Linked DNA regions of Tamandua tetradactyla. The protein of the gene in region 1 purifies or fractionates together with the protein of each later gene. This does not show direct contact. Links are inferred from orthologs where the notes say so. Each region holds a gene or a part of one and is shown in the gene's direction. Other genes may lie near its edges.

Region 1 (7,709 bases):
TCAATCATTTCCTCAGGGCTAGAGGCCCCTGCCCCTTCCCTCCCCAGCTTCCCAGCCCTAATGGCCTGTGTCCTCAGGGTCAGGGAGTGAGGCTGGCTAGGGGCTGGGCGCTGCTTTCAGGGGTAGATACAGGTCAGCCCCCTGGGGCTCTACAGCAAGGCACCAGGAGACCCCCTGGGTTGCAGGTGTCTTCACAGTGAGGCCTGAGCTAGAAGCTTCTACCCAGCCGGTCTCCCCAGGCTGGGGCCCTACACCCTTCCCAGGGCACAGCTCCCGAGCCTTGGAAGCCAGACCTCTAAGGTGGCAAGACTCCATGTTCTGGGGTACCTAGATAAGGAGATCCATTACCCCCACCCCGTGTTCCCATGGTGGCTGGGGGAGAGGCACAGGTCTGCTTGAGAAGGGACAGCCCTGTGGACAGGAGATAGACCGGGGCTTGGGCTTCCCTTTCTTTCCTACAGGTGTAGCCTCTGTCCTGAGCACCTCAGATGCATCTGGCCTCTGGCCTGAGTTGCTTCAGTAAGTGTCCCTGAGGCATAGTTCTCCAAGCCCTAAGGGAGGTTCAGACAACTGGCCTCAGGAACTGGGCTCCAGGCTGGAGCAGCTGCAGGCCCAGCTGAACAGGTGGGTGCCTTGCAGGCCAGGGCATGGAGTGGTTACAGAGGGTGGGCCCGGAAACGGGCTGGGCATGGGTGCTCCCTTCTGTGACTTAGGGACTTCACTGAGTGCCTGGCTGACAACTGTGCCAGCCTTGCTTTTTTAGGATGGTGAGCCCTATTTAGCTACAGTTCTCCCCATTCTCTGAGTGTCCCAAAGCACAATGCCAAAGACATCATTATGAGGACTGAAGAAGGATGTATGCGTGGCGCCTCGTCATTATTATTATGGGAATCAGGGAGGTGCTTAGGGGTATTGGGGCAGGGGCTTCGGATCCTAGTGGGGAAAGGGTTTTAGTTACCATGCTACACAAAACTGAGATCTGTCCTCAGGACCTGAACTGCTCTCACCAACCCTGACCCTGACTATGGGGTTCTGTCTGGCAGGCTGGAGTTCCAGATGACCTCAGACCTTAGGCGCATCCTACAGCTCCTTCAGCAGCCCCCGCCCCAGGGCCGCACCCACTCCATCCAGGGAGCCCCTGCCTCCATTGACCTGCCATTGTTTCCTGTGACCTCAGCAGCTCAGAGTCCCTGGCCCAGGCAACCCTAGGACGGCCTGCCGCCTGCACAGGTGAGCAGGTGAGGGGATATCTAGGAGCTTGCCTGGAGCTGTTGCATGCCGCCTCCCCCAGCATGGCTTCAGACCCAGGGCCTCGGTGACCCAGAGCAGCTGTGGCTTCTACTGTCCTCTTTGGTTTGAGTCATGACAGGGCAGTGTGGAAGGGTGGTGGCAAAGCCCAGATTGTGACCTCCTGGCTGGGACAAGGGTGGCAGGTGCCTGAGGTTAGGAGGAGCAAGCATAGTTTCTGCCAATTCCCACCCCTGAAGTCAGGGTGGATGAACCTGTAGCCTGGCCTGGGGGCTGCCCCTCTGCATGCCTCCAATCATTTCTTGCCCCTCCTAGACCTCAAGCTGTAGAGACTTGGACAAATGTCCACTGAAGAGCAGGAATTGCTCCTCCAGGATGCATCATCTGCTTGTGGCAGTGGGCAAAGCTCTGGCACCATCCTCGAAACAGGAGAAGCCTGAGGGGCTCCTGTCACCTCTGGCCTCACCTCTGTGTCCCCCAGGGGTTCAGGGGCCCATCTGTGGTCCTCGCTTCCCCTCCCTCCCTGAATCCCTTGGCTCTGTCCCTAAGCAGCTGGCGTTCCAGAGATATGGCTCAGATCCTGGATTTGCAGGAAGTTAGAGCCCCTGAATTCCAAGATAAAAGACATTCTGAAAGGATGAAAGTGGGTGGGGTGAGTGTCAAGGATCCTAGGGGAGGCAGACAGCCCCAAAATGCTGTCTGAAATGGGCCTCTGAAAATCATTCTCCCGGAGTAACTTCAAACTGCTAACTTGCGTGACCCAGGTGGCGTGGGTGAAAAGACTTGGGATTTTTCCAGCCACCCCCAGGGTTCTGTTTAAACAGCACACCTGGTGGAGGAGTGGGTGCCTCTGGTATGGAGTAGCTTAGAGGACTAAGGAGTCAAGGAAGTAAAGAGAAGTTTCTGTTTTCTATGGGATCACTTCTTGGCTCAGACCCAGCCCGACCTCATGGCCCAGGACCCAGCACCCATGGTTGAGGGTCAGTCAGACCTCCTGCTGAAAGCCTTTGACTTGGCTGAAGATGATGGCCTCCTCTTTGGTTGACCTGCCAAGGCACAGAGCTCCAGTCCACCCCTGACAGTTCTGTGATAACCTTGGGGCCCATGTAGGTAGTAGAGTGTCGCAAAGTAAGCAGCAAACACAAGTCTGTATATTTCATGTTGGCTCAGGTGTATAATCAGGTCCTCAATAGCTGTGGTCTTCTCCAAGCCCTTCTCACATGCAGGTGGGAGCTTGTCCTTCACATCCACTGTTGGAAACCTGAAAGGTGGCTCCTCTGGACCCAGGAGCCCCCAGAGCATGGGCTCTTAGCCAGGCCAGGGAGAAGGGAAGCAGGGAGGTGCTGACTTGGTGGCTGTCAGGAATCATGCCAACTGCCATACACACACATAGCCGTCATCCTGTGCTGGCAGCACGCTGCCCACTTTGAAGACTGTTCATCTAAACTTCACAACAACCCTATGGGGTTGGTATTATTACCTCTATTTTAGACATGTGGAATCAAAAGCAGAGTAAGACTAAGAAACTTACCCAAGCATGGTGGGAACTCCCAGGGGGCTGGTCGTGTTCTGTTTCCTGATCTGGATGCTGGTTACATTCTGTTTATGTTGTGAACAAATGTGCACTTCTATGTGTAAATTCTAATTTGGTTAAAAAAAAAAAAAAAGACAAAAAAATTTTTTTTAAGTAAAAAGAATCTTGCCCAACACAGTAGGAGGATATAATTTCAAACCAGTCTCTGGCTTGAGAACCTGTGCAGTTAAGCACTGCACTGAAATAGGCTCTTCTGTCATTTTTGCTCAAGTACCCCCTAAAGGAAATTTGAACATTTGTATCCCTCCCTAATGCATTTTTAAATTGACAGCTGAACTATTTCACTGATAAGTTTAAATCGTTGCAAAAGATGTGATTCCCACTGTCTTGTAAATATTGACACTTTATAAAATTGTTTTGTCCCTTATTTATACTGACTCGTGATCCAGATAGCATAGTGATTTGAAAGCCATCGTTATCCACAAGAACAAGCCCTTCTTTAACATTCCTTTTTCTCTTTTTACTCATAATTCCACTACTTTCCCTGTTTTACTCTACATGCATTTCATGTTCATGTTTCAAAGACTATTATTAATCACCCTACAACATCTGTTTGCAGCACAAACAGGAGTATAAATTGAACGTTTAAAATTAATTTTTTGAAACGTTGCTAAAGCTTTAGGAGTTACATTTATTCTTAGTATAAAGTTGTTCAAAACAAGATAAATATATATTCACATTTTAATAAAAACTAAAAATTTTGAAATGCATTCCTTAAAGAGATTGAAAGGGAATTTCCCCCCCAATTAGGTCATATATCTGTGGATGAATATCATTACTTTTTATTAGAATAGGGTAAGCCTCAGCAACAGTTTTGTTGGTATTTTTCTTTCTTTTTTCCCTAAACTTCAGTGCAGAAAAAAACTTTTTCACATAAATAAGTGGCTAGGACTAGAAGGGGGTTGTTACAGCACTGTTACTCAATTCTTTTAATTTTTTCCGAGTTGTATAATAATCACATTTATCATTAAAAATGGTATTTAATGATATGATCTAACAAGTCAATGCAATCTTCCTTCATTTTTGTTGAAAGCAAAGAATTGGAAACCATTTAAATTATAAAAAGATGTTACCCAGATTTTCATTTTCTCCATTTCAAAGTCACGGCACTGATACATTTCGGGCTCGGTTAGCATTTGCCTCGGGATCCCGTGGGGGGAAAAGATGGGATGGGATGGGATGGGACGGTACCCGAAATGAACCTGGAGCCAAGCTGGTCGTGCAGCTGTCTACTGAAGACCAACGAGAAATCCGAGCATATCTGGAATCGCAGGAGAGCGCGGGAAGGTCTGCAACAGGCGGGTCCGAGGCCCGTCCTATGGGCATGGGAGAATAGCTGTCCGGGTTAAAAGGGGCGTTGGAAGCATGCGAAGCGGGGGTGAGGGAGTGTTCCCGTTCCGTGCGGGTCAGGTTGCCAAGCCGCCGGGCTCAGTGCCGCGAATGCAACAGGCAGAGTTTAAATTTTACTCGACAGCGTGGAAAGGCCGCTTAGAGTAACTGCAACAGCGGGTAGGTCACAGCAGGTCACACAAGAAGTTTCACGCTCAAAGACTTGGCCTAGAACTTGGAGGGCCGCCTGCCTGACAGGCTTGCCTCTCTACCCCACGCCCCATTCACCCGCACTGCGCTGTTATCCCTCTGATTGACATCTTTGTCAGCCAATGACCTTTGTGGCTAACAAAGCGCCTGCCCCCAGGAATTAGGCGGGACGAGAAGTTGGAATGGCACGCATTTACGCCAATAGAAAGGAGGCTTCAAAAGCTACGGTCATAATAACCAATGAAACGAAGGAATGGTTCGAAAGGACGTGTCAGGCAGCCAAAGGCCGGAGCCGTTGTGGTGGTCCCGTGGCTTCCGTTCGGAGGGGGCGGGGCCGCGTCCCAAACGGAAGGTGGTTGTTGTCGGTACCCTAGCAGGTTTGAAAGTGGGGGTCGGGCCCGGCTGCCTTTTCTCTCGTTGCGCCCCCGCCCCGCCTCCCTTCGGACCCTTAAGTCCCAGGCCCGGCTCCCAGCCCTTCTTACTCCTCGCCGGCTGCGGTTAGCTGCCGACCCGGCCCTCACTGCGGCCCTGCCGCCGCCACCATGTCCCTACACGGCAAACGGAAGGAGATCTACAAGTATGAAGCGCCCTGGACCGTCTACGCCATGAACTGGAGCGTGCGGCCCGACAAGCGCTTTCGCCTGGCGCTGGGCAGTTTCGTGGAGGAATACAACAACAAGGTGGGCCGGGCAGGGCTCGGAACCCAGCTGGCGGGGAGCGGGCCCCGGGAGCGCCCTTACGGAACTGGAGCCCAGACCCCAGAATCCCCCTGCGGACTGGCCTTAGCGCCATGGAGCCGTTCCTACGTATCTGGCCCTGTGCTGAGGGTTTCTCTTTTTTTTTTAATTGTGGCAGCACTCGTGTAATCGGAAGTGTCGTTATCCCCATATGACTGATGGGGAAACCGAGGCACAGTGTTGTGACTCGTCAGGCCAGACAGCTGTTTCGTGACGGAAGCAGGTCTCAAACCTGAGTTTACACGAGCTACGCCATTTATCCCTCCCCTCCCCTCCCCTCCCCTCCCCACCGCTCCCCTCCCCTCTCCACCCCTCCCCTCCTGCCGCAGTGCTTCAGTTGGGGGGCGGGGGAGGGAACAGGGAGTGATGGCTGTGAGGGAAATGCCAGCGCTTCGGTTGGTGGTCGTTCTTTCCTGGCCACACTAGATTTCCCTTTAGGGCTTAGGGCTGTTTTTTGCACAGGCTGCCTCACCTCCACCCCCAGGTACTGTTGATGATTCCCAGCCCTTCTGCCGCTAGTGCCATCGGTATTGCCGCCTGATAACCGTCCACTCTAAAGTGATCTCTTTTTGAAAGTATTGGCGCATGGCAACGGACCTTCCGTTGTTTCCTAAGGAAGGATGATGCTTTTTATAATGTTATTTTGGCTCCTTTCATGCGAATACAGATGTGTAACCTTGAGTAGTCTTTTTGGATATCCACCAATTTGAGAAGCCTTCATAGAAGCTTTGGTAGGAGAGGAAGCTTTTACGTTGGCAGTGAAGCATGCATTTAGTTTTGAAAGTTGTTGACTAAGTCGGGGGGGAACTATTCTTTCCTTTACCCCTTGATCTCCTTTTATTATATTTGAGTAAATGTTGTGATTGATAGTGATCAAGAACAACCGAAAGCTTTGACTGGTGATGTTTAAAGCCAATACTCCCGTTTAAACCATGATAACAGACTTAGGAAGAATAAAATTGGACAGTGAAAAGCATGGTGCAGGGAATAAAAAGCCAGATGGTCTAAGGTTGAATCCTGTCGGTACATTGCCCAGCTGGGGGTATTGCACAGTTGAGTTCTATTTTGACCCACAGTGTGCTGTAGGAAAGGGGTTCCTTATTACATGTCAAAAGCCTGTAAAAAGTATTTGAGAATATTGTTTCTTTTGTTTTTCAGGAATATTGTTTCTTTTGTTTTTCAGGATCACGAGTTACTCTAGAGTATGTCTTAATTTTTTTTTTGTAGTACCCTTTGAGAAATTGATTAAAGCAATGGACTTGCATTGCCTACATTGCATGTAAAAACAATTTACGGACAAACCCTAGGAAGTATGCACTGATGTTCAAGTCCACCCATTGCCCACAGACAACAGAGTCCTGCGCAAGACATAGCTTTATCTTCTTTTCTCTGATGCCGTTTATTCCTTATGGCTGATCCATAGTGGACAACAGAGGTTGAAATGGATTTTGGGACCCTGATGTGGAAACCGTGTTAGTAAAATTAAGGCCAGTAGAACTACTGTTTAAGGACGCATGTTGGAAAAAAAAAAAGTAAAATATGTTTTTCAAAGGTCTGGAGTCTTCTCAAACAAGACTTTTCTTACTCTTTGCACATTTTTTCCAGGGTCGGTCTGATAAAAATAGTAGTCCCATTTCTAAGATAGGGGAAACTGAGGCACAGGCTGTCATGGAATCTGTGGAGCAGTTAGTGTCAAACCTCAGTGGCAGAAACTCTGTCCCAAGTTTGTCCTTTCCTTCAGAAACCGTATGGTTCTCCTCCTTTGTACTGAGCACACACGATAGTGAAATGCAAACTAATAATTCTAGTAGTAACAGATTAAATGAATACTTGCGTCTTAATTTGCTTGCATGATGTAGTCAGTGCAGAATCTTAAAACTATTTTCATGTCTCCACCTCTCCATAGGTTATGGCTTTTAACTTTAGTATGTGTGCTATGTACACCTTTGGCAGTCTGCAGTCTATAGATCCTTTCTCAAAAATTTTTTTTTCAAATCCATAAATTTATAGGAGTACCCAAAAAAATAGTTATATTTAACTACAGTTACCAAAACATTTTTTTAAAGTGGTGATGTAGTAATATGTACTACATCAGGTCATTTAACAATAACTAGTATAATTATAACTGTAATTTTGAAATAGCAAAGAGGGTAAACAGCATTTCAAGATAGGCTTAAAACTAATGTGAAGTGAAAAAAATCAGTGACTTCTATTGGTGACAAAGTCACAGATACTGCTAATGCTGTATCTCCCTCCATCCCTTATTGAAGGAAATGCTAAATTTCAGCTGAAGGTTAGTGAAAATGGGAATATGTTTCCAATTGAAGTTCGTGGACATCAGGGGGAACCCCTAGAGGGTGGTAGGCAGTAAATCCCACTTTAAAGCAGTGGTTCAGATACTAAGTTTTTGAGAACCCTTTCCACAAAAGTGGAAGACTTCATAATTTAGAGTAATTAAAAAGTTATTGGTTAGAATTTTCAGATCTTTGGTTCCTGCTTACCACAGATAGTGACTGCTAGCAGAAGACAAAATCAGTGGACACCTCGCAGATTAATATTGATGAAAAAGCTCAGAAATGGCTTTTTTTTTT
Region 2 (7,039 bases), on another chromosome or scaffold:
GATTTATTTTTGGCAGGGGGCTCCAGGAGCAACATGGGAAAGAAAAGCCAAAGTGACTATTAAGAACATTATGGTAGTTATTCAAGTAAGAATGGACTGCGGCCTAGACCTGTGTAGTGGAAATGGGACAAAGAAAAGTGCATAGACTGAAGTAAAATTGAAAACACTCAGGGCTTATCTAGATATGGGCACTGAGGCAAATGGAGGACTCAAGAGTGAAACCTAGGTTTTTGGCTTTCCTCCAAACGTAACCTTGAGCTGGTCATATAGCCTCTTTCTGTGTTATTTCATCACTTGTGAAACCAGTTTAATAACACTTGACCTATCAATCTCAAAGGATTATTATTAGGATAAAACAGTTCTATTATCAGGATAAAATAGACACTGCATGTGAAGGTGTTATGAAAGTATATACTGGCATTACATTACAAGTACAACAGTAGCAACTTTCTGAATACCTTCTATGTCTGGCATAATGCAAAGCATGTTAAATATACTATCTCATTTTAATTTTCTCTAAGAAGTCACTTACCCCTACTTTACAGATTAGAAAATTTAAAAGTCAAAAATGTTAAGTCCAAGGTCATTTACTGTTAAACACTGCAGAACCAGTATTCAAACACAAGTCTGTTTGACTCTACAATTCTTTCTAATACACTGCCCTGTCTCATTAGGTTCTTTCTTAAAATTTTCTCCTTTATTGGAAATCCCCCTTAATCGAATGGCTGAACACCAGCTGCCATCTCAATTTCTTAATCATGGATGAAAATAAATCTGCTACTGTGTCGATTTGAAAGGATTATATGCTCTAGAAAAGCCATGTTTTAATCCTCATCCATCTTGTGGAGGCACCTGTTTCTTTTCATCCCTATTCAGCATTGTAGGTTGGAAATTTGATTAGATTATTCTCACAGAGATGTGACACCCCAATTGTGGGTATTAACTTTTGATTAGAGGGAGATGTGATTCCACCCATTCCAGGTGGGTCTTCTTTAGTTTACTGGAATCCTTTAAAGGAGGAAACATTTTGGAAAAAGCTTCAGAGCCATGAGAACCACGAGAGCCCAGGCAGCCAGAGACCTTTGGAAATGAAGAAGGAAAACATTCCCAGGCGAGCTTCATGAAACAAGAAGCCTGGAGAGAAAGCAGCTGTCAACATGTTCGCCTGTGCCTTTCCAATTGAGTAACCCTAAACATCAGTGGCCTTGTTGAACCAAGGTATGTTTTCCTGGATGCCCTAGATTAGACATTTCTATAGCTTTGCTTTAATTTGGACATTTTCACAGCCTTGGAACATGTAAACCTGCAACATAATAAATTCCCCCTTTTTTAAAGCCATTTGTTTCTGATATATTGCATTCCAGCAGCTTGCAAACCAGAACAGCTACTACAAAGCAGCTTACCTTTTTGTCTGAAATTCTCCAAAATGCATTCTAAAATCCTCATTCTTTACAAACATTAGCATACATTGCTCTAGAAAAGCCATGTTTTAATCCTAATCCATCTGGTAGAGGCAGCTGTTTCTTTTAATCCCTATTCAGGGATTAAAAACAAGACAAAACATTGTCTAATCCATATTACTCTATTTTGTATCATATACTGAAAATAATCAATTTAACCATATACTTTAAATTGCTTGAAAGTGAGACTGAGACTAGCAGAATGAAACATGCAAATAGATTGTCTGGATCCTTTTGCTAAGAATTTTGACTAATGCCTGGTAGGGAATCAGTGGAGACACCTAATTTAAAATACTGTTATTTGTCTATCATGGATTGTTGGCATTAATTCTGATATCTAAAAATATTTCATTAAAGTATTATTAATGTAGATCACTGAGTTTTTGGGTGCCCCATTAAATTCTGCACACCAGCTAAGTGCTTCACTGGCCTCATTCTAGTCACAGACCTGACCAAGGCAGCCCACTCAGAAGTCTTCTCACTCTCCCTTCCCCTACCTACAAAAAAATGCAAGAAATTCCATCACCCTCATCTCTGTTCACCTGATAATACCTATTTTCCGCATACTTATGTAACAGTGGTTATGGTAAATTCACACTCACACTAAGAAATGTCTGCAGAACTAATTACAAGTCACCTTCTACCGTGTAGTGCTGTTACTCAAACTTACGTCTTTGTGGTTCTTAAAAATACAAATCTACCTAAATCAACTATACACCAGGATATTCACCGCAGACCAAACGGAAGATTGAGAACAATTCAAATGCCAATCAATACGTTACTTGTTAATTATATCATTCTTACAAAGAATGTTATGCAGCTGTTAATGAGGATGAGAAATTTTACTTTTTTTTCCCCAAAAAGCAGGTCATCCAACAGTGCATATTATAAATTGCCAATCTGTGTGAGAAAAGTACTTAAAATTTACATACATTTGTAAACTTAAAAATCATCTGGGAATGACTGTATGGTATGTGAATATATGTCACTAAAATTGCATTAAAATAATCATTGGGGGAATTCAGAAAGTATCTGAAGCTCTCTGTGCTTGCCTGGAAAAAGTTGAAATGTGAAAGGGAGAAAGACTTAACTTTTTACCTTATGTTCTTTTGCATCTTCTGAATTCCTAACAATTTTCATTAGCATCTATTAAAAACAAAGTACAAAAACATTATCACATACCTGGTGGGGGGGAGGATTAGATGTTAGGAAACAATTTTGGAAATCTTTTGGAATTTTTTGGTCTATGAAGCCTTTAAGTTGTTTTCAAACCTGCCTTTAAGGCATGGTGGCCTCGGATATTGTTCTGAGCCATTCGAGAGGACTGAGTTGCTTCTCCTCGACTCCCATGGCAACAATCCGTAGCTTTCTATAGACATCTAACACTTCTACCTTGCTTTATTACATCCCTTTATCTCTGCAAAGTCTAAAATACCAAGGTTTAATTCTGAGGAGGGAGAGTCCTCATCAGATTAGTTTCTGTATCTCCACAGAATCTGGCACAAAGCAAACAGTTAACAGAGAACTTTGCCAAGAAAGTAAAAAGACAGCCTACACAATGGGAGACAATATTTGGAAATGACAGACCAGATAAGGGTCTCTAGTATCCAGAGATATAAAGAGATTGTTCAACTCAACAACGAAAAGACAAACAACCCAATTACAAAGACGTGAACTGACACTTCTCAGAAGAGGAAATACAAATGGCTAAAAGGCACAGGGAAAGATGCTCAACTTCCCTGGCTATTAGAGAAATGCAAATCAAAACCACAATGAGATACCATTCCACACCTACCAGAATGGTCATTAGCAAAAGAACAGAAGACCACAAGTGCTGGAGAGGATGTAGAGAAAGGGGCACACGTATCCACTGTTGGTGGGAACGTCATACGGTACAACCGCTGTGGAAGGCAGTTTGGCGGCTCCTCTGGAAGCTAAGTATAGAATTGTCTTTTTAGTTTAAGGTATATTAGAGAGACTAGAGGGAATTCCTGAAACTGTAGAGCTGATTGTATAGACGTAGATGATTGTATGATACAGCTTTCACAATGCGACGACTGTGTGATTGTGAAAATCTTGTGTCTGATCCTCCATTTATGAGTAAAAAATATGGATTAAAAATAAATAATAGAGGGAACAAATGTTGAAATAAAAAATTTTAAAAATGTAAAGAATGTATATTTGTTTATTGCTTTAAATGGTGAAAGAGATAAAAGAGGCAGGGGAAGGAAACAGAGCAAATCGCGCAAGTGAGGGAGGGAAGAAGCCCACCCTAAGCTATGAGGATAGAAGACTCCAGGAAAGGGTTGCTTGCTCTCCAATCTTCTCCCGCAGGCCTCACCCCTGCCTATGTCCTGAGATCCAGGGTCCCTAAACTCCTGCCAGCCCGCCGCCACACCGGAAATCTAGGCGCCTGCGCGCCAGGGGAATACGCTCCAATGACGCTGCGCCAAGGGCGTGAGGGGGAGGAGCCCAGAACGTGGGGCGGAGCCTCGGGCAGAGCGGCCACTGCCCAATGAGCGGGTGCCGGCTGAGCCGCGGCCCAATGACGGCGGCGCGCGCGCACGCTGGGGCGGGCCTAGCGTACCCGACTTTTCCAGAAGGGTTCCGAATATCACCTTCCGGCCACGCTGAATCGGTCTTGGGTTTTTTTTCCTCGGTCTCTGCTGGGTCAACTATGGCGGCTGTGAAGACCCTGAACCCGAAGGCCGAGGTGGCTCGAGCCCAGGCGGCGCTTGCGGTCAACATAAGCGCGGCGCGAGGACTGCAGGACGTGCTGAGGACCAACCTGGGGCCCAAGGGCACCATGAAGATGTGAGGCAGGGTTGGCGGGGAGGGCCGGGCGGGCCGGGGACCGCGCACCTCGCGGCTCGACGGGACCAGGGTGCGGGGAACCCGGAACTCGAAACCGTCTCCTCCGAGCCTCCGCACCCTCCGGGACGGGTCTGTCCTATTTTCCTGTGCCGGGTACCTTGATTCCGGCTATTCTTTCTTGCGGCCTCCGTGGGGAACAAAGCCGCCCTCGTGCGCCGCACCCCCCACCCCACCATCCCTATGTCTTCCTGCGGTAATGAGGGTTCGGCAGACTGTCTCTGAAGGGAGGGGGTGGGCACTGCACCATCTCTGTTGACTGGGAATAGAGATTTCCAGCGCCCTGTGAAGCTGTGGAGCTGTGGATGAAGCCCGATTTTTTATGAAACACTTTTTTTTTTTTAAATGGGACTGTTTATTTTGTCTCTGTTGGAGAGAAAATCACAGTAATTAATTTCTGCTCATTGAACAGGCTTGTTTCTGGAGCTGGAGACATCAAGCTTACTAAAGATGGCAATGTGCTGCTTCATGAAATGGTGAGAGGATATTGTAGGACAAAAATGTCTTGATTTTCCATAGTACGTTTGATTTGTGGGAAAATCTGTCTTTTCTCAAGATTAGGAATGCCATCGTTAATATGACAGAATACAGTGATGGGATCTAGATCTCACTTACATTTTTAAACAGTTATAATATTAAAGTTAATTAAAATAGCATCTGAAAAATTAAGAGTGATTGATAGAGTCAGATGGGCAAAATGGAACAGGATGATCACACTTTTTCACTTTTTAAAGCCCTTCCATCTTACTTGCAAGTGGCGGGGAAATAAAACCTTTTCTTTAAGGCTTTACCATTTTAAAGTCCCAAATGGCTGGAGAATACGAGATATTTGAAAGTAATAATCGTTTTACTCATTCATGAATTGCCAAAACAGTAAATCCAGAAAGAGGGAATGAGCTGTGATTTGAGTTCAGAATAAAATTTAGGATTTTGATGGTAGACAAGTATGCCGTCAACATCCAAATATTCTTCAGTAAGGACTAGCTAACCTAGACGGTATAGTTTGTTTTGATGGATTAAATGGTGACAATGCCAGTAGGGAACAATTGGGAGCAATCACATAAACATGTCAGAAAAGTCAAATCTACATGGTGGTTATTACAAATATCTTTTAACTTGCATTTCTTTGATCAGATACTTATTTGCTTTGCCTTTTGTTTTGTATTTATAATAAAGAGAAGCAGTACAATGTTTACAGTTTAACAAATAAGTGTAAAGCAATCATGTGCATTTACTCTCTTAAGAAATAAAGCATTATCACCTCCAAAGCTGTCACTTGTCTCTCTTTCTCCAATCTCAAGAGATCCATTTTTAATTTTTCATTTTGAAAAACTAAGATCTATACCCTTTACATGGATTTACTAAATACTGTTATCACACCTAAGAAATAGACACAATGCTAATCTCATACACAGTTCATACTTGTTTTTACGGTTGTTTGCTCAAACGTCCTTATTAGCTTGTTGCCTTTGTTGTTTTTCCAGATCCAAAAGAAAAGTTTTTCCATGACCTGTCATAATGTGCCTGGTGATAAGACACAGTGAAAAGTATGCAATTTGTCAAAAATCAGCAAATCTTAGATAATAGCAAAACCTAGATTCTAAAAAGAAATGAGTCACCAAAGACATAAGCTGGCCAACTGTTTTAGACTAAAGAACTATAGTGAGTCATGAGAACTAAATGCAGTACAGAAGCCTTGATTGGATCCTATGTAATTAAGACTAGGGTGCTGTTGAAAACGAGGTGAATGTAGGGTTCATCTGTTGCTGTTAATTGTTCTGTCATCTTAAACCTTAACTTCAAGCTTCTGCAGTGGAGATAATCTGAGATTTAAACAATGAATTGGTATACAGTAATAGCAATGCCGAACATTTTAGCAGTTCATTTAAATGAATAGCACTTTAACAGGCCCTTTACCCATTTATTTGAGGTATAATTGGATTGCTTCATTTTAAGTCATTAAGTGGTTTTTTTTTCTTTTTCTCTTTTCAGCAAATTCAACACCCAACAGCTTCCTTAATAGCAAAAGTAGCAACAGCCCAGGATGACATAACTGGTGATGGTACTACTTCAAATGTCCTGATCATTGGAGAGCTGCTGAAACAAGCGGATCTCTACATTTCTGAAGTATACATGGTTTATGCATCTCTGAATTGTATTGTATATATAGGAAATACCTGAATTTTATTTATAGTAATTGATGTGTTCATAGTTACTTCATTGTCTGACACAAATTTATTTCTGACCCCAGACAAGATGAGGGATCTTCCTTGCCTGAAAAAACAATTTTATCAAGTTGCATTGCATATAATTTTTATGTCCATCTTTATTCTACAGACATTAATATATAGGGGCTTAGAAATCAAATGTGTATGACTATGTATATTTCTAAGGGAAGGCCAACCAAAACCTTAAATCAGAATTTCACAACCTTTTTATTCCTAAGTACTTCCAGGGCCGCAGCAAACTCCATGACTACAAATTCAATGTCAGAATGACTTTACAGGAAACAAAGAGAAAACAGACTCTTAGCTTTCCTTGTATTTGTTTTTATTAGTAAATGATATGAATTCCAGAAAAAGTAAATTGTTCCTATTAACTGCAACTTAGGGTAGTTTTGAGTTTGGACATTGTCTTTGGTTTGCACAGTGAACACCCAAGTGTGCTTTATATAGTTCCCTTGGTTTTGACGCTGTGCAAGAGCAATA
Region 3 (7,559 bases), on another chromosome or scaffold:
AGATGAACAAAGTTGATCTGAATAGGACTGAGATATATCTGAATACAGGGTAAAGGATGATATTATCCAGATTGGTCAACATGAAGATGAATTTGAGGCTGAAGATTAGGTGAAGCCTCACCTCATAGGGTTTTACTTAATAAAACAAGTGCATTGTGTAAGATGAAGGAACATTTAGAAATATACTTAATTTATGGTGAATAAAAGCATTGCACTCTCAAAAAAAAATGTGCATGGTTCCTATTTGGAACAATGAAAATGTTTTGGTAATAGGTAATGGTGAGGACAGCACAACATTGTGAATGTAAGTAATAGCACTGAAATACATAGTTGAATGTAGTTTAAAAAGAAATATTAAGTTGTACATAAGGAAAATAATTTTTAAAAATTTAAATCCCCAAACAGTGAAACCCTAAACAGTACAATTACAAAAATATGCTTTCGTCAATTGTAACAAATGTCCCACATAAATGAAAGGGGCTAACAAAAGATCAGTGTGGTGCTCTGAAGCTGTATGTCCCCCAAAAAAACATGTTCTTAAATCTAATCCATTCCTGTGGCTATGAACACACCGTGAGTAATCTCATCTTCAGTTAAGTAACTTACTTCAGTTAAGAAGGTGTTGCCTACCTCAATCAGGACCGGCCTTAATTCTGTTACTGGAGTCCTTTATAAACGGAGTGAAATTCAGAGAGAGAAAGCTACAGGAAGCAAGAGGTTCATCATCCATGCAACTCGGATGAGATGGAGAGACCCCACGTGCCTTGCTATGTGAAAAGAAGCCAAGAATTGCTGGCAGGCAGCCCAGAACACCAGACTTCAGGTGGAGGCATTCCTTTGATGATGCCTTGATTTTCATTTTCTTTTAGTCTCAACACCATAAGTTAATAAATTCACATTGTTTACATCAACTATTTCATGGTATTTCCTGAACAGTCTAGGAAACTAAAACAGGTAGCAACTCTGTATTTCATGTATGACTGTTCTGTAAACCCACAATTTCTTTAACGATGGTGGGAAAAAAGACAACTGATTAGAAAATAAAAATTTTTAAAAAAGGAGGACTAAAGGAGCAGTCAGTGCTCCTTTATTCCTGGAAATTTTCCAGGAATTTCCCCCAAATTCCTGGCTTGGATAAATGGTTAAAAGATGGTGTGATTTATATATTGATTCAGTTCCACTGGCACCTATGTTCCTAAACAACAAATCACACATATCCTGTTACAATGTATAGGTGCAACAGCTTGCCACCCTGTTTCAGAGCTAATCAAAATTGATACTGATCAAAGCATGAGTACACTGCCCAACTGCACAATAACCAATCCTGTGACACTGGGGTTTCAAAGGGAAAAAGAGCTTTATTGCCCAACACAGAGCAGGGAGAATAGGAGGCTTATGGACCTCAGATCTGTCTCTCTGAACTGTAGTAAATCCTAGAGTTTTATAGTATTCAAAGATAGGCAGGTTTAGTACAATAAATATAATGACTTTAAGATGACAAAGATAAAAATGACCTAATTACTGAGCATGCACAAATTGATTTCATGCTTAGTCACAGAACATATGTGAGGTATAGGTATTATAATGAGGGATAACCTGTAGGTTAAGGTTTAAGCTACTGTGCATGTGAGGTCAATTATGATTAGAACTAACTTTGTCTAATAAGATAGCCTAGGATTTGGAATGGGTTAGTTCTGAGTTAACTCAAGTTCCTTCATTAATAAAGATTAAGGGACTGTCCAAGTGATCACAAGACTTCAAAGTTGCAAAACAAGATAAGGGGGTGCAAACAGGGCCAATCATGAGTTATGATGATGTTTTACAAGGTAAAGATAATACAGTTACACAATAAAGTATCATCATCATAGATCAAGGCATCTGGCTTACAGTTCAGTGAGTTTCGATAGTGTCAGGTACTTACTTTTGGCTATTCAACAATATATCACAAAGTAAGAAAGCATCTAAATGATTCAGTTACTATAATCATTTGCTAACTCTAGATTACAAAATGGTACCCATTTTTAAAAAATATTGAAGGATCTGTTAACACATATATGTGCCAGGCCCAACCAAAAATACTTTTCTCCATCAAAATTAGGAGGAAGTTGATTTTTCAAGTTCTCACATTGGTAGCTACTTTGCCTTTGGTAAAGCAATTGGGCATGAGTATCTTCCTTGATTTTCATCCTGGACCCATTTCCCTATCCACATTCCACATCCCATCCCTTCTCACAGTCTTTTCCACAAACTTTACATTAAAAATTCTCTATATCTTCAACCTAAACTTGTCTACTGAACTCTAGACTCCCATATAGTAGAATCTTTCTTACCAACCTCACCTTAACTGACTTAACTAGAATAAGTAAGTTTCGTATTCTCTCCAAACCCTCCAAAAAAATACTGGCTGATGCCCATGGCAAGATGAGGGCTTATACCTGGTAGGTTTCACTCTAATAAACACTCAAACTTTTGCCAAGTAATTTGTGTGTGTATCCAGATCCAGATGTGTTTATCCTCACATCTGTTTTTCCTATTTGTGCATGTTATTGTAATCATGTATTTAATGACACCGATGAAATATGAATGCAAAAAGGGAGTTTCTCACAAACTAAGTTGCATGCTTTAAAAAGGGTCTTAAAAGGTGATCTTTAAAAAAAGGAATTAGGTGCAGGCAGAAAATTGAAAAAGATGAAGAAGTACATAAAATTCTATAGTGATCCTATGTTCAAATCCCCTCACAATAGCCTATGTCCTCCTTGTTAAATAAACTGACATTGAAAAATGCTAACTCTGCAAAGACAAGACAAAGTCAGACCTATCCTTAAAGTAAAGGTCTTAAGCCTATATCAAAAGATTGGCAAGGGAATGGATAGCTGTAGGTTTTAAATTCATATAAAAGTATGTAATTGTTTTTTTTCCATGATTCCCATTTTTAACCAACTATTTCAATTAACTAAGTAATTACTGGCCCAATCATGTCAACCACCAACTAGATATCTTTATTTATTTTTTCCTCCAAATCTGTTTTCTACTCATCCATTGCCTAAGCTAGAAACCTGAAAATCATTCTTAACACCTTCCTGTATCTCAAGCCACACATTCTTAATCCCAAATCCTGGTGATGTTTCCTTCAAATATTTCTTAAATTCTTTACCTCTCTTCTTCATCCTTACTACCACTGTTCTAGTTCTAGCTCTGGAAATACACATTTTAACTGTTCTTCTGCCATTTACAGGCTGTAAAGACAAAACTTCTGAGAGACACATTTACTAAAGGATATAAAGTATGCAAAGCGTTAACAGAGAGAAGGAGTGTACTAAAGGTTAACTATGACTACATAGTGGATCGCACCAGAATTACACGAATAGCCTCTTAACGATTCAGCCCCATCTCTTATTTGAGTTGCCTTAAATTCACCCTTCAAACTTCCACCAGTTAACTATCAGAAACAAAAATGTGACTAAATCAAGTCCTTGGATAAGATCCTTCAATGACTAAGGCCAAACTTCTTAGCGTGGCTTACAGACTCAACATGATCCACTAGAACACTAGAACATCATGATCCATTCACTCACACAGCTCCTTTATACACACACACACACAGACACATACATACACACACACTTCCCTAAATTAAAGGCAGCGAATCTCCTGTAAGTACAATAAATATATCTGCTTAAATCATTAATTTCCATTTTGCAGAGAAGAGCTCAGAAATATTCAGCAAACATTAATTGACTTGCTTACGATGACAGGCTAGCAGGACATTCTGACCCTTAGTCCTGAAATGCTCTATAATATCAATTCCTGCTTCAAATCCTCTTGCCCTTCAGGTGAACCATTCAGTGAAAAGAGCAATAGGCAAAGGGAAGAAATAACAGACCTCAAGAGCACTACGAAAAGATGGCACATAACGGTGACACCAGCCGAGGGGTCAACCATCAAAGCACCACCTTGTATTCTCCCCCAGCCAATAAGTTACCTGCTGTAAGTACTGGTTAATAGTGATGTGAGCCATGGAAGTGGACCGCCGAGTCCAAAGCAAGAGTGAGCAACGATCACCGCCCCTCGCTGGATCTCCAGAAATACAAGCTGAGTTCCCACTTCCGCTGGCGCGCTGGCGTCACTTCCGAGCCGTGGTCCGTCTCTCAACCCGAGCCTCCGAGGTGGTCTGGTTACACCTTCCCTTAGCTGTTGGCTCCTGAAGAATTCCCGCGGGAGCGGGAGTCAGAGATGGCTTGTCTGCGCGCTGGAACTTCCGGGCCTCAGTCGGGTGGGACAGCGGGAAAAATGGGCTGAGGAAGACCGAGTTGTGTCCTCGGGTCCTCATTTCCAATTTGGTCCCACCCAGGACGCACTGGGGCAAGTCAGATCATAGATGAAGGGATAGGTGAAGTGTCATGGGAAGGCCCCTGAGACCTGAGAGGGTTTGGGATTTCGTGGCAGAGGACAACCTCATAGCGTAGCTTGTCTTTCGACTCCTCTCGACTGTTGCATATTTAAAAAGAAAAAAAAAATCCGCTGTGTTAAACCCTCGTACGCCGCTGATCTACTCTCAGGCCCTGGTACTTGGGGTACCGGGGCGCGCACGCGCGGTGGGAGTGGCCGTTGGCCTCACGCTGAGTGACCCGGGTGGCTCGCAGAGCGGGGTCTCAGGGGAGGTGAGCGTGATTGGCCGCCCCAGAACCCCTCATCCTCTCAGGGCACCAAAGCTTCCGTGTACGCAACGGAATCCAATTACACAGATCAAGATGGAGATTGACATTAAGTCGGCCCCGAGCTGAGGGCACCTGAGCCATGGGGACGGGACGGGAGAGACGGGACTTGAGAACAATAGCAAGGGCATGAGAGTTGGCGGTTGGCAGGAAGCTCGTGGAAGACCGGGCTGAGCCACAGAGGGCAGCAGTCACTGCGGCTCGTGCAGCCACGCGCGGGGCCGGCCCCTTTTAGTCACCGACTCTCCCTTCCCGAGGCGGAGTCCCGAGGAGCCGGGCCGAGGGGAGGGGGCGGGCCTAGGAAAGTTGAGGCCGCCGGTGGGGGCGGAGAGGAGGCCGGGTTCCGGCTCCGGCCGGCGGCAGTGTTTACTCCGCACCGGCGCCGGTTCCCAGCCAAGCGGCCGTGTGGGCGCTGAGATTACTTTTATCTGGGGAAGAAGGGAGGGCTGAGAGGAACTGCTCCCCTACGTCTCCGCACAGACTCCCCCGAAACGCGCTCCCGAAGGAGACACCCCGCGGCTTCCTCCGCTCCTCAGCCTGCCGGCGGGGCCTAGCTATCACCTCCAGAGGGGGCCGGGGCACCGGGCGGGGGCGGAGAAGGAGGCGGGGAGACCAGGCCGCGGGGGAAGGAGGAGGAGGAGGAAGCGCGGCCCGGGCCGCGACTGGAGGAGGGGACAGGCCAAGGGTGGGGGTGGGGCGGAGCGGTCGCCACCGGTTTGTTTTCTCGGCTGTAGACATGGCAGACGAGACCCCCAAGAAGGGGAACTTTTCGGCTCTCGTTGGACACACCAATGGCCTAACGAAACCTGCTTCCCTCGCAGCAGCCGCCGCCGTCTCCACGAAACCTGGGGGCGGCAGCGGCTCAAAGAAATTAGTGATCAAAAATTTCCGAGGTAGGTGCAGGAGGGCGATCGTGCCTTACTGTGGGGGAGGGGAAGCTTAAGTCGAAACGGGTCACGGGCCGCACCGGCCCCGCGCGGCGTCGCCGGGACCCTGGGGAGCCCGGCGGCCAGCTTGACGCACCTCATCGAGGCTGCGGGGGTGATCGTCCCGGGAGGAAGGGGCGGCGAGAGCGGCTTCCTGCGCCCCCCGCGGGCGAGGCCGGCGCGTTGGGCCGCGCTGAGGGGACGTCGGGGCGGGGACGGCCAATGGGGAAGGGGCGCGGGTCGCCCGCCCCGCGCACGCGCCGGGCTGACCTGCGCCGACCTAGCCTGCGCTGGGCGGCGCGGAAGAGGGGCTGCGGCATTTACGCTGTGGTACTTGGTGGTCCGCCTCCCGCCACCGTCTACTTCCCAGTGTGCATGCAGGCCAACCCCTCAGCTTTCCATCGTTTGCTCGTTGGATTTCTGTGCAAGCCCTCTGTGGCTGTTCATCACGTCACTTTCAAACTTGATCATCACTTTGGTCCGGTCACCAGACGGTTTTGGACCCTACACCTTCTGGGTACGGAGTGGAGGAAGGTTTTAAAACTTGTGCAGGGGTTATAGGACAATACATTTCTTTTCTAAGATAGTAAAAGGCCCAATGAGTCGGCATTTTAACCTGATCCTGCAGGCCACGTTTCCGCAACTCTGCCGGAGTTGAGCATTTTCTACATCAAAACTAAAAAACCTTTCTTAAATGTGTGAAACAAGGGCTTTTAAAACCTTACATGACTACATGATTTTGGCGATTTATTCTGTAATTTAACAATGTGCCAAGTTTTATTTGTACCAGTTTTTTCATTACTCTGCAATTGATAGAAAATTACAAATTAGGTCAAATAATTAAGGCATCTTGATTCGCACAGCTCAACCAGAGTAACTTCTGAAGCTATACATTTTTCCAGTTTTTACCAGCCCTATCTCGGATAATAGGTCAAAGCAAGCGTTTTTGATACAGGTATATACAATCTTAAGCTCATTCTTCACCTTCCTCCCAACATTGCATAATTTAAATAATTTTAAAATATTGTGTAGAGAATAACTATTCCATGTTATTACCTTTCTGAAATCAACTTAAGGGAAAAAAACTGTAAGATTTATAAATTGTCTTTCGTGTATTTATCCGAAGTATCAATGCCGAATATATTTAGCAAAACAGAAATAATATGGTTGCATAACTTGTAACCCAATACATTTATAAATGGTGTTTAGAAAATTCACTTCCTATGTTCGTACCTATGTGTCTTTTCTTTTAAATTCTTGGTTTGTAGACCATTTTAAGAGATGTATAACTGTTAGCATGGAGGTCTTTCTGCCCTGACTCTCTATCTGGATTTGCAGACAGACCTAAATTGCCTGATAATTACACTCAGGATACATGGCAGAAGCTTCATGAGGCAGTGAAAGCCATACAAAGTAGTACCTCCATTAAATACAACCTCGAAGAGCTCTACCAGGTAAGCGTCCAAGTATGTTAAAAAGTAGAATTTGCCAGAATTTAGAGACATGAATGCAGAATTTTTCTGAACATGGAAGACTTCAAAATTTGTTTAGGATGGCATTTAGTCTCTACAATTACCTGGTTGTTTTATGGCTTAAGTTAATTATCCAATTCCTGTGAGTTACGATACAAATTTAAATTACGTAATTCGCTCAATATTGTTTTCAGAGTCAATAATGAAGGAAATAATATAAATCCAAATGTCTCACTATGTTTGCCTCATACATTAAAGGGTTGTATAAAAGTGTGTCCCACTGTCACCAATTATTTATGGTTGTTGGTTGTTGGCTTTTTATTTTGTTTTCAGGCTTAACTTGCCTAGAAAGATATTCAAGTTATCCAACTACAATAAAGAGGATAGGTATTTCTAAAAGCCACATGCCCCTAACATTTTCCAAATATGTAGCAAAATTATAGTTC
Region 4 (6,971 bases), on another chromosome or scaffold:
AGTTGTCCTGCAGCGGCGGCAAAAACAAATAGATTATGGCAAGTGCACACCTGGCTATCAGTGCTTTCTGCAAAAGGTCCCCAAGTGAGTGCACCTGTGGGATGGTGACAACAATGGTGTCAACCAAGTTGTTGTATTTCAATGTCAGGTGATGGAAAGATACTAAAATCTGAGTGCTCTCACAAAGTTACAGCATTGTTAAAACCAAGTCTCCTGCAATCTAGCCCTAAAGATAAGTTTCTAAGATTTTTTTTTTTAATGGAACAAGTAATACTTGGCCCATAAGACTTTAAAGCTTTACCTGTGTTTCCTAATGAGGTAGTTTTCCTTCCAACCACTTTTACTATCCCCTCATGCTTCCAGCTGAGTTGGATAATTGCAACATACTTGCTTAATTACATGCAAATTTACATGTATATATACAAACTAAATGTATGAAAAGGTAGAATTCATTTTAAAGGGAAGATAAACACTGTCTTTTATGTCTATTTTGGCTTCCAAGGAAGCTGGGACTATCTAACTTACCCTTTCCCGAAGGTCAGAAGTTTGGTGTTTAATGTGATTGGAAGATTTACTTTTCTTGTTGGATTGAGGACCCTCTTAGTTTGCCATGCTGCTATAACAAATACCACACAATGGGATGGCTTAAACAATAGAAATTTATTGGTTTACAGTTTTGAGGCTAGAAGAAGTCTAAAATCATGATGTTAGCAAGGCTTGCTTTCTCCTGAGGGTCTGTAGCATCTTGTGCTGCCTGTCAGCAATCCTTGGATTTCCTTGGCTTGTCTATCTGCCTCTAGTCACATTACAAAAGCTTCTCCTTTCTGGCTTCTCTGACCTCCAAGTCCTCTTTATAAGGCCTCTAGTAATCCAGATTAAGATCTACCTTCATTCAGTTGCACCCAACCTTAACTAACATCTTCAAGAAGTCTTATTTATAATGGGCTCACACCCACAGGAGTGCTGATGATTAAGAACATGTTTTTTTCTGGGGCACATAACTCAGCCTTCCACAAGAACATGGATCTTACACCATTCTCAGGAATCACTAACAAATTTCCTCATTCACTATGATAAGCAGTGAGTTGTGCCCCCTATTATATGGGGCTCCCTTTCACCTTGACCTCAGTCTGACCCACATTTCTCATTACTAGGGCACAGCGACAGCCAGGGATTCACCCTCAAACTCCAAACAAGAACAAGAAGTACAGCCGTCGCTCCTGGGATGCCCAGATCAGACAGTGGAGAAAAGCCCTGCATTCCTGGGACCCCCCCAGCCAGACTCTGCAGGGCAGTGGGGATGAGGGGTGTGTTTGCTATTTCTGGTTCCTTCTGTGAGTGGTGGGCTGAGTCCTACGTCTCCCCACCCAACAGAGGTTTAGCTTTCACTGGCTGAAAAGGGAATGACTGTATGAGATGCATATTCCTCTGACTGTGCTGCCTTCCTAGGCAGGGAATGGAGAAACTCTTACAGCCAGTGGATTCTACCCCTTTGGATGACCTACTGGATGACAAGCTCCAGGCCCTGGAACCCTCATAGGATCTGGATGGAGACCAGAAGGTAGTATCTTCTGCTGAAATCCACTGGAGCACAGTCAAAGATAGGGACTGGCCCATGAAGTCACAATTAAGATGGGGTTCAAGGTAGTAGCACAAGAACAAAAGAAAGAAAAGGAGGCAACAGAAAAAATAGCAGAACATGAGTAAAACACTTGAGAACTAGGAATGGTATAAGGAGATTTAATTATAGTTAGGGTGGGGGTGGGCCTTTGGGTGGCACTGGGGAAGGGCAGGTATTGTTTTCACTTGATGAAAGCTGATGTAAGTTTTCTTTGTATGAAACTTGACTTTTTTTTTTTAAGTTTGTCAATTCTTTTTTAAGTGTTTTTCAAGTGAGCCAATGCTAACTTAACTTCTTTTACTCAATCATTTAACATTTTGAAGGATGGATGACAATAAAAAGGAGGATAGCCTAGTGGTGAAGAGCAAGGGCTTTAAGGTTTCAGGGTTTTTAGTTTTGTTTTATGGCTTAATGTACCTTGAAGCTCAGATTCGTGTCACATCTACAGGGTCATCCTCTGGATGTACTGGGGGCAGAATTAATTTTTTTTTTTAACTACAAATTTTATTGAGATAAATTCACACACCATATAATCCATTCAAAGTATAAAATGTCTCACAGTATCATCACCTAGTTGGGCAATTATCATCACAATCAATTTTAGAACATTTTCATTTCTCCAAAAAGAAAAAGAGTAGACAATAAAAAGAAAACCCAGAATACCCCATGCCCCTTATCACCCCTTATTGTTGTCCCCTGGTTTTGGTGTAGTATGTTAGTTACTGCTAATGAAAGAATATTAAGATATTACTGTTAACTACAGTCCATGGTTTGTAACAGGTACTTTTCCCCCCATATACCACTCTATTATTAGTTCTTTGTACAAGTTTAATACATTTACAGAATTGATTTTTTAAACTTTTTTTATTGTAAAGTATAACATATATACAAAGCAAAGAAATAAAAAAGCAACAGTTTTCAAGGCACTCTTCAACAAGTGGTTACTGGACAGATCCCAGAGTTTGTCATGGGCTACCATACGATCCTCTCATATTTTTCCTTCTAGCTGCTCCAGAATATAGGAGGCTAGAGGACTTAAATACTTTTTTATTACCACAGTTGACTTTTCTTCTTTTTTTGTGAATAATAACACATATACAAAAAAGCTATAACTTTCAAAGCACAGCACCACAGTTAGTTGTAGAACCTATTTCAGACTTTGACATGGGTTACAGTTTCGCAATTTTAGGTTTTTACTTCTAGCTCCTCTAAAATACTGGAAACTAAAAGAGATCAATTTAATGATCCAGCGTTCATATTTATTTGTTAAGTCCTATCTTCTATGTATAATTTCACCATCACCTTTGATCTTTCCATACCTCTCTTTGGGGTCATTTGAGCTATGCAGAATTGATTTTTAATACTACCTTTACTCATCACTTGGGCAGTCACTTATCCTTTGGGCTTTTTCATTTGCCAAATTAGGGTTGTTTTTTGTCTTGTTTTGTGTTTTTGTCTCTTGGTAATTGTAAGCAAAAGTGAGAATACTTATTTCAAGAATATAGCACAGTGCCTGGTATGTAAGCGCTCCACAACATTGGAAACCATGTCTTCTATATGTCAAGGTTTCTTCTCTGTTCTTTTTTTTCCCCCCAAGGAGAAATATGTAGTGCAAGGTAAATCTTCCCCCCACCCCTATCTTCTTGATAAGTACCTCACCTTTCCTCTACTCTTTTCTTTTTCAGTCTGTGGACTCGGTGGCTCCTGCCTCCTTCCTTCCCTGGTTCTGTGAAGAAGATCCCTACCACTGACTCTACTTCTAGCTGATCACAGCCATTTACCCTGTCCCAGATCTGAGTGGGGCACAAAATAGTTAGAGAAAACAGATGTCTTTCAGGGGCTTGTTGTAAGTGTAATAGTGAAAATTACTTGCATTACTATTACTTTCCAATCAATTAAAAAAATCTAAAATTCTGCCCTACAAAGAGATATCACAACAGGAAAGCAATTGTTCAAAACCTCTCCTTTTTCATTCTTTTTGCCTGTCTCTCTGAACCATGTTTGTTGCTAGCTAAGAAATTTACACCAGAACCAGAAATTATCCAGCTGTTCCCCAACTTCTTCATTTACTAACATCTACATTCAGTCTCTTTAAAAAGGATTTAAACTTTGGCTGCCGTGGGAGGTGGTCGTGGCGGTGATTTAAATAAAAGGAGGTTTCCCTCTTCCTGAGGAGGAAATAAAACCTAGACAACATCTTTTCCCCTTTTCCCTGCTTCCTCTCTGTCTTAAGGAAAGTGGTCCAGACGTAACCATCGTTTCCCTCCCACCTTCCCTCCCCCCCCGCCCCCGCAAGTAACTGAACCGCCTATGATGTCATAATCACAATCCCATTACCTCATCCTCTTGGTGGTGGGGTGGGGGGGTTGCGAAGAGGAAAGAGGTGTGAACAACCGTGGGCCCTCCTCAGCTTTACAAAGTATTTTGGGTGAGATCTAATTACAGATCAAGTGGGAACCGCCCCGCGACCGTTATTAAGTCCTGGGTTTATAAGGTTCGAGCCGATCCCGCAGCTGTAAGGGGGGATCCACGGAACCAGAGCAGGCCCTAATCGGCCCTTGGACTACACTTCCCGGTAGCCTTCACGCCGCGGACGAGTCCTCTGCTGGGGGAAGGGGGATTCCTTCAGAGAGGAGGCGGCGGAGAGCGGGGCAGGAGAACAGGTGAGAGGAACCTTGGTTAATACTATTACACAATCCAAACAGAGTGGGAGTCTGCACTTGGGCCGATGGAGGAATAGGGGGCGAGGGCGATGGCTTTAATTACCTGCGTCGGACACTGCCTCCCCCGCGGGTTTCAAGATATGCCTGCAACTGGATCCATCCACCTTCTGCAATATTTTGGGGGGTTGACTCGATGGGGAGTCAACCACCCCCATTGCTAAATCAAAGCGCCAGGCTGGTTCCCGACAAAGCTATTCGAGGAAGACTGTAACAGAGAAACAACGAGGGGTTCGGGCCCCCGCGGACAGATCAGAGGGATTCTGCGAACCACCTCGAATCCTCCACTCTCCTCAGGGGCCCGATGGTTAGCGCCGGTGCCTTTTAAGGGCACCGTGGGGCGAACCGAGCGCTCAGAGCTGCTCCGGCCGCGGCCCTGGGAGCTGGAGGAGCCGCGGTAGGTGGCGGAGGGCAGGTGGCGCTGGGGCCTCGGGGCGGGCACCTCGGCCGTCCCTCCCTCCTCTCTCTCCCCTCCCCCAGCCCGCCTGCTAGCGCGGCCGGGCCTCGCCGGCCGCCTCCGCCGGGAGAGCACGGGACCTGGTGGGGGAGGGGGAGGCGGAGTGCTAAGTCCTAGACCCTTTCCATACCCTGCGTCCCGAGTTTGTTTCCCGCGGCCAAATGATGGAAGCTGAGTGGGAAAAGGCCAGCGATAGCCCCCCCTCAGCGAGCCCTCGCGCCCCTCACGCCGAGGGCCAGCGGATGCCCCATGCCCCACCCCGAGAAGACAGACTGGCAGCGGAGGGAGAGGTTGAAGATTGGAGGGGGCCTGGCCTTTTGCTTCTTCATCGGAGTGGGGGGGAGGGGTGTTCCCCACTTGTCACCCCATATCCCCACCAGAACCATATGGAGGAAGACCATTCGGATCCCCACTTACCTGTTCCTGCACCTTCCTGACTCCCTCATGTTTTCCTTCAGTCTCCCAGAAGGTGTGGGGCTGGGACCTGGGGGGCAATATTCCTAGGGGATTTGTGGCTCTCCCTCGCGCTGCCCCCCCACCTCGCTTGACTTGATCCTCGGTTCTCCAGGTTCAGCACTACGTCAGCATCCCTGAGACCCTGGTGTCGGGTTATTGCCATTGAATGGGAAACGGGATGGGGGTTCGATCTTTTTATTGGGGGGCTGGTGGAGGAGGTAAAGCCTGGGCTGAGAGTTGGGCCTGGTGGGGTTGTGGGGAGGGCCTAGCGGCCTGCTGCTCTGTAAAGGCTTGAGCCCCGTGCCAGTTGTTAAGCTGAGAAGTTTTCACTTGTTTGGTGCACATTCAGGGCTGACTCTACCCCTCAAATATACAAAATGGAAGGGGAAGGAACGCGGCAAGAGAGGGCTTCTCATACTTTTTTCAATGCCTGCTTGAGAAAGAAGAGGCCCCTCGTGGAGCTGGTTTGCCTTCTTTTGTGTCCTGGTTTGATTCCTTATGGCTTCCGTTCTGTTCCCCCTCTCAGCCTGGCCTGTTTTAGGAAACTCAGGCTAACAGTATCAGTTGCGTAGTGGTAGTTGCATTGTTCCAATTACCGCCGTGTGTGGCCACATCCCAACAATTAAAATTCAGAAAAACACAATATCACTCTCTTCACTTGATCCCAGAGAGGGCTGGGAGTTTGCTGTTTGGCCAAATGCTTCATGAAAAGCTTGAAAGAGTTTGCCTCACTCCCTGCTCCTCATGGCTGGTCAGCCTGAGGCCTGAGGTCTCTGGGTTAAAAGCCTGCAGTTAGGTTCCCTCTCTGGTTGATTTTAGAGGGCAGGGTTAAGAAACCAAGAGCAGAAATGATAAAAACCTTAGCTTTTACCACAAGAACATAGGGGAAGCAGCTGAAGGGAGCCCTCAGGAAGCTGGGACTTTGTTCAGGGTGGTAATAATTATTCATGAAAATGGTAGTTAATTATAATGATTGATTTCTCCCACACCTTTCTTCCAAGTAATTCCAAGTACTCCGTGGATGCACCGTAGATTAGTACATCTGAGTGTATTTCTTTGCTCTTTGTGGCCTCCCTCTGAGGTGGAAATGGGATAGTGATGATTCCCTCTTTTTTTCCTAAGAATATAGTGATCTGCCCCCAAGGTCACAGAAGGAAGAGCCCTCTTGGGCTTCTGTGGTACCAGGTGAGCAAGGCTGGCATCCAGCCAGAGACATAGAGCCTGTTGCTTTTTTTATTTTAATGCCATAATTTCTGGCATCCCGTGGCTTTGTAAAGCAACGAACAGGAGGAGTGAGAAAGGGTAGCCTTGATGGACTCCTGAGTTGTACAGGCTAGATTGCATGCTTTTATACATTTTGCATATTTCATGTTACGTCATCCCTGTGACAGATTAAGATTATTCTGCCCATTTTAAATATGGGTAAACTGAAGCCAAGGAAAGTTGAAAGATTTGCCGAAAGTCGAATTGAGATTTAGATTTCTTTGTCCTTTGTTCTCTCTGCTAGCAAATGCCACATATACCCTCTGATGAGCTGTTTGCCTACTGGTCATTTCTGAGAATGGGCAGAACAAAATCATTGAGATATTAAGTTAACCTCCCACTTCCCTTGAGCAAGGCCCCTCAGGCAATTGTGTGGCCTTGAAGTCTGTTCTCTAATAGTTTGCTTTTACCAGAAATTGACCATGAGAAAGGGAGTCTTGATTAATTGTATCCA

Evidence for each region.
Region 2: the proteins of DCAF7 (region 1) and CCT6A purify together in Homo sapiens (affinity purification with mass spectrometry; 3 studies listed by BioGRID and IntAct, counting the BioPlex papers as one, with this or other methods). This does not show direct contact. The link is inferred for Tamandua tetradactyla from reciprocal best matches to the Homo sapiens genes DCAF7 and CCT6A.
Region 3: the proteins of DCAF7 (region 1) and CUL4A purify together in Homo sapiens (affinity purification with western blotting; 4 studies listed by BioGRID and IntAct, with this or other methods). This does not show direct contact. The link is inferred for Tamandua tetradactyla from reciprocal best matches to the Homo sapiens genes DCAF7 and CUL4A.
Region 4: the proteins of DCAF7 (region 1) and FAM53C purify together in Homo sapiens (affinity purification with mass spectrometry; 3 studies listed by BioGRID and IntAct, counting the BioPlex papers as one, with this or other methods). This does not show direct contact. The link is inferred for Tamandua tetradactyla from reciprocal best matches to the Homo sapiens genes DCAF7 and FAM53C.

Annotation. Positions count from the first base shown.
Region 1 is NC_135332.1:4,678,404-4,686,112, forward strand, and holds the start of DCAF7 (DDB1- and CUL4-associated factor 7), read left to right. Parts: upstream 1-4,701; 5' UTR 4,702-4,923; coding exon 4,924-5,061; intron 5,062-7,709. UniProt on the Homo sapiens protein: Involved in craniofacial development. Acts upstream of the EDN1 pathway and is required for formation of the upper jaw equivalent, the palatoquadrate. The activity required for EDN1 pathway function differs between the first and second arches.
Region 2 is NC_135349.1:18,495,415-18,502,453, reverse strand, and holds the start of CCT6A (T-complex protein 1 subunit zeta), read left to right. Parts: upstream 1-4,025; 5' UTR 4,026-4,137; coding exon 4,138-4,274; intron 4,275-4,743; coding exon 4,744-4,807; intron 4,808-6,323; coding exon 6,324-6,458; intron 6,459-6,972; exon of another isoform or gene 6,973-7,039. UniProt on the Homo sapiens protein: Component of the chaperonin-containing T-complex (TRiC), a molecular chaperone complex that assists the folding of actin, tubulin and other proteins upon ATP hydrolysis.
Region 3 is NC_135330.1:183,681,199-183,688,757, forward strand, and holds the start of CUL4A (cullin-4A), read left to right. Parts: upstream 1-4,546; 5' UTR 4,547-4,661; exon of another isoform or gene 4,662-5,449; 5' UTR 5,450-5,451; coding exon 5,452-5,608; intron 5,609-6,011; coding exon 6,012-6,158; intron 6,159-6,979; coding exon 6,980-7,095; intron 7,096-7,559. Other genes in the region: PCID2 (PCI domain-containing protein 2), read right to left, coding at 3,983-4,018. UniProt on the Homo sapiens protein: Core component of multiple cullin-RING-based E3 ubiquitin-protein ligase complexes which mediate the ubiquitination of target proteins. As a scaffold protein may contribute to catalysis through positioning of the substrate and the ubiquitin-conjugating enzyme.
Region 4 is NC_135346.1:18,004,435-18,011,405, forward strand, and holds the start of FAM53C (protein FAM53C), read left to right. Parts: upstream 1-3,958; 5' UTR 3,959-4,284; intron 4,285-4,358; exon of another isoform or gene 4,359-4,738; intron 4,739-6,971. Other genes in the region: oocyte-specific histone RNA stem-loop-binding protein 2-like, read left to right, coding at 1-84, 1,155-1,307, 1,450-1,540.